2 linked regions of the Tribolium castaneum genome follow. The protein of the gene in region 1 interacts with the protein of each later gene in a biochemical or structural test. Links are inferred from orthologs where the notes say so. Each region holds a gene or a part of one and is shown in the gene's direction. Other genes may lie near its edges.

Evidence for each region.
Region 2: the proteins of Mtpalpha (region 1) and Mtpbeta are reported together in a solved structure, tested with the Homo sapiens proteins (2 studies listed by IntAct, with this or other methods). The link is inferred for Tribolium castaneum from reciprocal best matches to the Homo sapiens genes HADHA and HADHB.

What each region holds. Positions count from the first base shown.
Region 1 is NC_087398.1:2,394,517-2,399,045, reverse strand, and holds the start of Mtpalpha (trifunctional enzyme subunit alpha, mitochondrial), read left to right. Parts: upstream 1-1,486; 5' UTR 1,487-1,626; coding exon 1,627-1,696; intron 1,697-1,784; coding exon 1,785-1,882; intron 1,883-1,952; exon of another isoform or gene 1,953-2,047; coding exon of another isoform or gene 2,048-3,991; exon of another isoform or gene 3,992-4,019; intron 4,020-4,515; coding exon 4,516-4,529. Other genes in the region: kinesin-like protein Klp10A, read left to right, coding at 2,048-3,991. UniProt on the Homo sapiens protein: Mitochondrial trifunctional enzyme catalyzes the last three of the four reactions of the mitochondrial beta-oxidation pathway.
Region 2 is NC_087396.1:13,485,955-13,490,400, reverse strand, and holds the start of Mtpbeta (trifunctional enzyme subunit beta, mitochondrial), read left to right. Parts: upstream 1-1,619; 5' UTR 1,620-1,746; coding exon 1,747-1,816; intron 1,817-1,903; coding exon 1,904-2,072; intron 2,073-2,123; coding exon 2,124-2,311; intron 2,312-2,360; coding exon 2,361-2,548; intron 2,549-2,593; coding exon 2,594-2,767; intron 2,768-2,818; coding exon 2,819-2,950; intron 2,951-3,727; coding exon 3,728-4,183; intron 4,184-4,240; coding exon 4,241-4,288; 3' UTR 4,289-4,446. UniProt on the Homo sapiens protein: Mitochondrial trifunctional enzyme catalyzes the last three of the four reactions of the mitochondrial beta-oxidation pathway.

The sequences.
Region 1 (4,529 bases):
AGTCATTACAACTTCAAGTGTACTTCAAGAGCTGCCTCAAGTTCATCAAGCGACCACCAATGCGGTACAAATTTTACCTTCCCTGCCTCGTAATTGATTAATTATTACAAAAATTTAAGGCGTTTTACCGCGAACAAGCCCAACAGCATTTAGAGAAGAAACGCGAATTGAATCGGAGGGCTCACCAGTATAAACAGGAGGGGAAACACAGGCTTGCCCATGATTGTTTTGAAGAAGCAAAAATACAGACGAAACTGCACGATGAAGCCAACAGTCGGGCAGCTGCTGCATTTTTAGAAGAAAATTACAGGAAATATCCAAGTAATGATACAATTGATTTGCATTATCTTTACGTGAAGGAGGCGATCCGGGCCTTGGATATTTTTCTGGACGATCAAATTTCACACTTGAGGGACGATAGTTTAAACTCGAAAGGGCTCAGTGTTATCACAGGGCGAGGGAAGCATAGTGAGAATGGGGTTCCCAAAATTAAGCCAGCTGTTATTGAACGATTGCAAGCAAGAAGGCTTAAGTAAGTCGTTCTGTTGAATCAAATAATTATTGTCAAGTGGACTGTTTTCAGGTTTTCGGAAGTCAATGCGGGCTGTTTGAAAGTCTATATTTGTAAAACTTCACCTTTAACCAATGATCTAAGTTAGAGAGGCTCTTTTATTTTACCAAAGACTGAACAAAGATTGTGTTAGCGTTTTTATTTTGTCAATGTAATCGTACATTATTATTTAACCGTATTTTTGTAATACATTTTTTACTTTGTTATTTTTATAGTTTTTTCAAATAAATATTTTTTGTCTCAACGTTTTTGTGTTTTAATTAACATCGTTTTCAGTTTCACTAAAGCAATACGTTACCTGTTAGCGTTCTTTTGAAATAATTTCTGCTATTATTTTTTATTACATTATAAATTATTCAAAGTATAATTAACTTTACCAAAGTTTCGACTTTGAACAGATATAAAAGTTGCCAATAAAAGATTGATTGAAGCATTTTTTGCAAGAGTGCAGTCTGTGAAGTGAGTTTATTTGTGCCAATTATTTTTTTAGTTTGTCGTTTTATAAAAAAGGTAAATTATTGCCAGTCTACGAGTTATGGAGATATAACTAATACGTTTTTTTGCATAGAAAAAAATATAAAGTACTCTGAATTCTGTGATTATTTGGTTTAAACATACATATAAAAAAATATACTTTTTACTGGGGTTGAAAAAAAAAACAGCAAAAAATTGTAATGTTATGCAACCATAATTGCGGTCTTGCATGCTACGTGGAGTATTTCTGTTCATATGAGATGATTTTTGCAATTTAAAAAAAATTAAGTTTTTGTAACTATAATGGTGTGCATTAGATTTTTCCTGAAATAGTTTTTTCGGCGTTTTTATTAAAATTTTTCAGTTAGATCTAGTGTTGCCATCTATGCAACCGTTTCAAAGCCACTACAGAATTCTGTTTCGAAGCGTCAATGTCAAACCCACATGATCAAAAGTCATGAATGCATAAAATAGTTATCCAACTGGGCAAAGTTCATTACTCGGCTCATTTTGAAAAGCTGGGGAAGTGTAGGGAGTGTTGGTGTTTGTAGTTGCTCGAAAATTCAATTAAAATTGGAACCATGTCGACACTACGGTTTTTTGGGGCCTTATCGAAAATTTCCCGTACTAACATAAAGTTTAAGAACACAGGTAACCTCAATTTTCTCTAAACGAATGCACTTTGATGTGTGCACTTTGCACCTGAATTGTTGAATATTGCTAACAGGGGCCTTTTCAGCACAAATCCGCGGCATGGCCTCACAGGAGAGGAAGCACACGAAGCTCAAAGTTGTGGATAATATTGGAGTCATAGTCTTAGACTCGCCAGGAGTCAAAGTGAGTATTTAGCGTAAAAATGGCACGAGCGATGTGTTTATCAATTTTTTCCCAACTTATCACGCTGTTCTGGTAACAAGCTTATTTATTTGCAAAAGCGTCTCAAACCGTGCAATAAAACAAAATTTGACAGTATTTGTCAACAAAATTTTGATTTTGATTTTAATGAAAATGAACGGGAAAGTTCTCGAAATCGGTTCCACAATCAACATCGAGCGAAGTGACGGTAGAGTGCATCCGGCAATCGTATCCAGCATTAACTACGAGCTGGACATAGTCGGGGTTGAGTGGTTTGAGGCAGGTGAAACCAAAGGCAAGGAAATCGACTTTAATTGCGTCACCAGACTAAACCCTCACATCGCCGCTATAAAGCCAGACGTTCAGAGATTCAGTGAGTGTTCCTCTGACGTTGCTCTAGTCGAAAAACCGAAAAAACGCCAGTCTATCGCCGTGTACAACAATCGCGTCAAATCCTCCAAGTCGAGAATCACCCAAGACATCGTTAAGCCGAAAAATTCACTCAAAGACAAGTACCCCCAAACCTCGCGGTCCGTAATCGAGCACATCTCCAACTCGTTCGAGAGCAATGTGGTCAAGAAAGTGGGAAAACTGGAGCTCGAACGCATCGAGCGCCGCAAAAAACAGGCGGAATTCAAAGCGGAAAAAGTCGAGCTGACCAAACGTAACGCCGATAACCCCCATTGGGAATTGCACCAAATGATCCACGATTACTGTAAAAACCTGAACTATAAACCTTTGACGATCAATGATGTAATAGAGGACCGTCTCATAACAGTCTGCGTCCGCAAGCGACCTTTGAACAAGAGCGAAAACGCGAAGAAAGAAGTCGACGTTATAACAGTGCCCAGCAAAAACCAAATCATCGTTCACGAACCCAAAACCAAAGTCGATCTCACCAAATACCTCGAAAACCACTTATTCAAATTCGATTACACGTTCAACGAGCATTGCGACAACGAAATCGTCTACAAATACACGGCGCAACCACTCATCCGGACGGTTTTTGAGGGCGGTTTCGCCACGTGTTTCGCATACGGACAGACCGGATCCGGGAAAACGTACACAATGAGCGGCGATATTTTCCGAACGAATGCCCACAAGGGAATTTATGCGATGGCTGCGACCGACGTTTTCCGACTTGTAGCGTCCCCAAAATACCGGCATTTAAACTTGATTGTAACGTGCAGTTTCTTCGAGATTTACTCGCGCAAAGTGCTCGATTTGTTGAACCGTAAAGGCGATTTAAAAATCCTGGAAGACGGCAAGCAGCAGGTCCAAGTTGTGGGCCTCACCGAAAAGGTTGTGTCCTCAGTTAATGAAGTTCTGGAGTTGATTAATCACGGGAATATGGCCAGGACTTCGGGGCAAACCTCGGCGAACGAAAACTCCTCGCGTTCGCATGCCGTTTTCCAGATTTATTTGCGTCCGGCGAAGAAATTTAATTCGCTGCATGGAAAATTCTCTTTGATTGATTTGGCGGGGAACGAGCGCGGGGCCGACACTTTGTCGTCCACTAAGACAACGCGAATGGAAGGGGGCGAGATAAACAAGTCGCTTTTGGCTTTGAAGGAGTGTATAAGGGCCCTGGGGAGGAAAGGGGCTCATTTGCCGTTTCGGTTGAGTAAATTAACGCAGGTTTTGCGCGATTCGTTCATCGGGGCCAATTCGAAGACTTGCATGATTGCGATGGTGTCTCCTGGAGTCAGTTCGTGCGAAAATACGTTGAATACGTTGCGGTACGCTGACCGGGTTAAGGAGCTAGGGGGCGGCGAGTTGCAGCATTTGTCGACGATTAATGAGAAAAATAACGAGATTATTTCGATGGGGTTGGAGGAGGAGAAGAGTTTCTCGGATAATTCCGAAGAGTTTAAAATTGTTAAAGAAAAAGTTGTTAATCTACACAGAGAGATTATTAGTAAACTGCAAGATGCGACCAAGGAGGCCAAGTATTTGAATAAGTGTATTGACAACGAACCGGAGAAGTACTGTCGGGAATTCGAAGAGTTTGTCGACGATACTGTGGCGTTTTTGTTGAATGTTAAAAATAGTGTCATTGAATATAAAATGAAGCTGTTGGCCGAAGAATGATTTTTTGCAATAAATTGTCTGGCAAGAATTCCGTTTTCGATTTATTTGAGTATAAGTTGTGTGATTGTTATTGTAAAACACTGAACAAAAGAATTACGAAAATTTGACAAAAATACGATATTCCCAAATCAAAAAATTAATGTTTTGTGTTGGTAAAAAGCTGATATTTTGATTAGATTATAATCGTATCGAATAAATGCATAATAAATTTATAAGTAATGAGATCATATTTTACATTTGATTTTTTGGCGCAAAAATACTTTCCTGATTCACTTTTCATGATTTATGAAAATAGTAACTGGAGTAAGTCAATAAAAAAGTTTTTAATGAAATTGTAAAATTATTTAATAAATCAAGGCAAGGTGTCTGGTTATTTGCTACCATCGGTTAAAAATATTAGAATATTAATTCTTTCTCAGTTTTCCGGATTTAATTTTTTTAGACGCTTTTTTTTGGTCCTGATTTGTTTCTGCCAATTCTTTTGATTAGATAATTAGGAATTACTTTGAATAATAATTTTCCAGGTGAACTCTTTGAA
Region 2 (4,446 bases), on another chromosome or scaffold:
TTTTGTCACCAAGATTACAAAGATCTGACTATATTTTAACGAACTCGTGGAGTTGGTTGCTGGCCATCCAGCCGTTCGCTTTCTTCTCGTTTACGAAGTATAAAAGAAGGAGTGTCAATTCGTTCCCTTCAAAGCCGTACTAAATATGTAATTTAATAGCGAGACTTAAATACCGCCCCTAATTCTGATAAATTTTATGTGGAACTTAAATGAGATTAATGTAACAAATGTAAAATGAGCTATTCTTTAAGAAATCAATGCGAGGAGTACGTAACGGCTTACAGAATAGCTCGCTAAATCTAATGTAGATGTGTAGATTATACCAGTTTAGATGAAGTAAACTGTATCGTGTTTTGAATAAATATCGCATATGACAAAACATCTCTCGTTAATTCCCTTATTAATATGATTTTAAATTTCTAGTGCACTTACATCTCTCTAGCAGGTAAAGTATTAAACCTTAACATTTTAAACATCAATTAAACTGCGCTAATTCAAACGTTAAACCTAATTTATTTTAATCCTAAACACACTGCATGCTATTATTTTTATTTAAACGAATTATACATCCTTTAAATAAACGATTATTTTAGTTATAGTTTAAGATCACGATGTCATGTAATACACATTTTTTGTTTCAAAATCCTATTAATATGATTTTTGTTACGTGTAGTTATTACATGACTGAACAAATTTTACCTTTATTTTTGTAACTAACACATTTTATTACTGTTTCAGGTATATGACCCTCGGCTCCTCGTGGCAGTAGTTCTTAGTAAACAATACACCTAAAGAAATGTGATATTAACGGCTGTGATAATAAATTCTCAATAAATAATGCATTTTTATTAATTTGCCTTCAGATCCAAACAAGCCCATTTTATTTTAATTATCTAATTTCATTTTGTCCACTTTGCATTAAAAAAATCACATTCACACACAGACAAAATAAAAAAAAATTGTAAATACACTTTAATATTATTTGCTTGTCTACATCTACTACGAAAAATATTTTTTCAATCCGCATATTAATTTGATAATAAATTATAATGTGAGATTTATATTTGATAAAAAATACCACCAGGACAACCAAATTAACAAAAAAAATTGCTCAGAGCATAATCGGTGGACTTGGGTTTTAAAGGTCAAGATTACATAAATGATACGGTAATAACTGAGCAGTACATTTCTCATGCAAAATTTCATATTTACTGGATGCACATAGTGCCATGAACCAAGTGAACAATAAAAAAAATCAAAAATTAATTTTTGTTATAGCTTTACAACTTGTTTAAATATAAAAAAATATGGATTTATAATTGAATATAAACGTGTTACGAAGTAGACACAAGACGGTATCGGTATCTGAACTTTGATCTAATAGAGATTTTAAATATTCCAAAAAATTTTAGTTATATAATGATGCGATAAAGATTAATTGTCACTAGAATTTTGTCACCAACATAGAGCCCTAAACAGTATGAGAACTTTATTGTTGAACTTTTTATTTTGTAAATAATCCGTAAATTAAATAATACATGTGAATACTCCAGATACAAAGCGTTTTGGTTGTTACACAACAATTTTAGCCCTTTGCTCTGTTATGCGAACGATTTCGTCATTTTCGGTTCTACAGCTGGCAACACTGCGGGTCAAAGTCGACGTGTGGCGAATCTACCTTTTAGTAAATATTCCGAAATTGTGTTCCTTTGCGTTAATTTTTATTTGATATTTTAACCCTTCAAAATGGCTTCGTACATTGCAAGAAACATAGTTAAAAGCCCTGCAGCCCTAGGGCTAACCCAGCAACAATTTGGTAAGTAGTTTAATTAAAATCAAATTGGCGGTGCAATGTTCTGAAAAAGTGCACGTACAAAGTTCAAAAACCGTGATTGCTTTTCAGGAAATTTGAGGGCCTTTTCTGTCGGAACGCAATTAAACAGCAAGAAAACTGTTCCAGACAGAACTGGAAAGAATATCGTTTTGGTGGATGGAGTCAGAACCCCATTTTTAATGTCTGGAACAGACTATTCCAAACTGATGCCACATGACTTAGCCAAACAAGCCTTAGCGTAAGAAATTCGTAACCCCAGTTGGCCATAATCACAATTTTGCCATTTCAGTGGCATTTTAAAAAAGACTGGTGTTCCAAAGGAAATGATTGATTATGTCATCTATGGAACGGTTATTCAGGAAGTCAAGACTTCAAATATTGCGAGGGAGGCTGCCCTTGCAGCTGGTTACAGTGACAAAACCCCCGCTCATACCGTCACAATGGCTTGCATTTCATCAAATGTGGCCATGACTACAGGTACAAAAAACAAAAATTAAATGGTTTAGTTTAATTAATTTTTTTTCAGCCATTGGGCTTATTGCAAGCGGTGTTTACGAGCTCATCGTGGCAGGAGGTGTTGAATTCATGTCTGATATTCCCATTAGGCACAACAGAAAAATGCGCAGCTTGATGCTCCAAGCCAACAAAGCCAAGACTTTGCAGCAAAAATTGGGGCTTCTGGCGAGCATCAGACCTGATTATTTCGTCCCAGAGGTAATTACGTAAAAATCTGTTAATTGATTGTAAAGTTTGGGTTAGTTGCCAGCTGTTGCCGAGTTTTCTTCTGGCGAAACCATGGGTCACTCTGCTGACCGTCTCGCAGCTGCCTTTGGGGCCACTCGTAGAGAACAAGACGAATTCGCTCTTAGGTCACACACTTTGGCGCAACATGCATATGAAAGTGGCCACTTCACCGATCTTATCCCAGTCAAGGTAATGAATAAATTAATTTAAAATTAAAAAAAAAATCTAATTTTCTTGTAGATCCCTGGAATTGATAAAGTTATTGAAAAAGATAACGGAATCCGTGTTTCCACCCCAGAACAACTGGCCAAACTTAAGCCTGCATTTATTAAACCACACGGTACCGTCACAGCAGCCAATGCCTCATTTTTGGTAAGTTTAACATCCTATTTGCTTTCGATCATCAACTGAATTTTTGATCAGACTTGTCTGTGATTTTTAAATTACGTTGGCATTGTTGACAGGGACTGCATACTTTTTTCATAATTTTTCCAGAAGCAGTTATTACTTATTAGCGTGATTAAAAAAAAATCAAAATAATCAAAAAAATAGCATGATAAAATTGACAACGTTGTAGGAGTGAGACTACAGGTAAAGTGTTGATAAAAAAAGCACTTGTATTATTAATAACTATTTTGTATGCCTTCGTGCGCTTTTCTGCCATTTCATTTTCAAAAAGGGAATTCCACACGATTATGTTAGTGAAATGTCAAAGGTGCCCGAATTTTTTTGCTCGTCATTGTACGAAAACGGTGATTATCATAATTAATCAAGCGGAAAAGTTAAATAATAAAACCTCGAACATTATTGTTTAATTTAATTAGTAATTAATAATTACAATACATTTTTCCCTCACTTTTCACTAGTTTATCATTCTCAGAAAAAGAATTCTAATTTTATATTAATAATAAATTCTAATTTCATATGATAATGATCGCATGGTATTTAATGGCAAAAGCGAATTTGTTTCTGGATGAAAAACAAAATAAGGCGCTCAAAAACGGCATCATTCTCTTTATTTTTGGATCAATTAAATGATTATTAGATTATTGATAAAACTGTGATTGTTAATGTTGCTAATTTAATTTCAACTTCAGATGCTGGTTTTATCAGAAATTGACTTCAAGTAATAATTATTGTTTTTCTCAGACTGACGGTGCTTCCGCTGCTATTGTTACAACGGAAGCGAAAGCTAAGGCTTTGGGCCTGAAACCCAAGGCCTATTTGCGGGACTTTATCTACGTTTCCCAAGACCCTATCGACCAACTTTTGCTAGGACCAGCCTACGGCACTCCAATTGTATTAGAAAAAGCCGGGCTTACAATGAAAGACATTGCTGTTTGGGAGTTCCATGAAGCTTTCGCCGGCCAAATTTTGGCAAATTTCAAAGCCATGGACAGTGATTGGTTTGCACAAACTTATATGAAGAGGAGCAGCAAGATTGGGGCTCCTGACATCAACAAATTCAACAACTGGGGAGGATCGCTTTCTATTGGACATCCCTTCGCTGCCACTGGAATCAGGCTGGCTATGCACACCGCTAATAGGCTTGTGAAAGAGGATGGACAGTTTGGAGTGGTTGCTGCTTGCGCAGCTGGTGGACAGGTAAATAATAGTTTTGGAATTTATAGAAATATGTTTAATTGTTTTTTATTCGCATAGGGTGTGGCCATGATTTTGGAAAGACATCCTGAGGCCACCGCAAATTAATACTTTTTATATTTATTTTTATTTTTCCCGCAAGTGTCCTTAAGTTTTCATCAGTACTTTTATAGTCCCTCCAACTCCTCTAGAGAAACAACTGTACATAGCTTTTCTATACATTATTTAATTAATAAAAAAGGTTCTTTTATAATGTAATATAATCA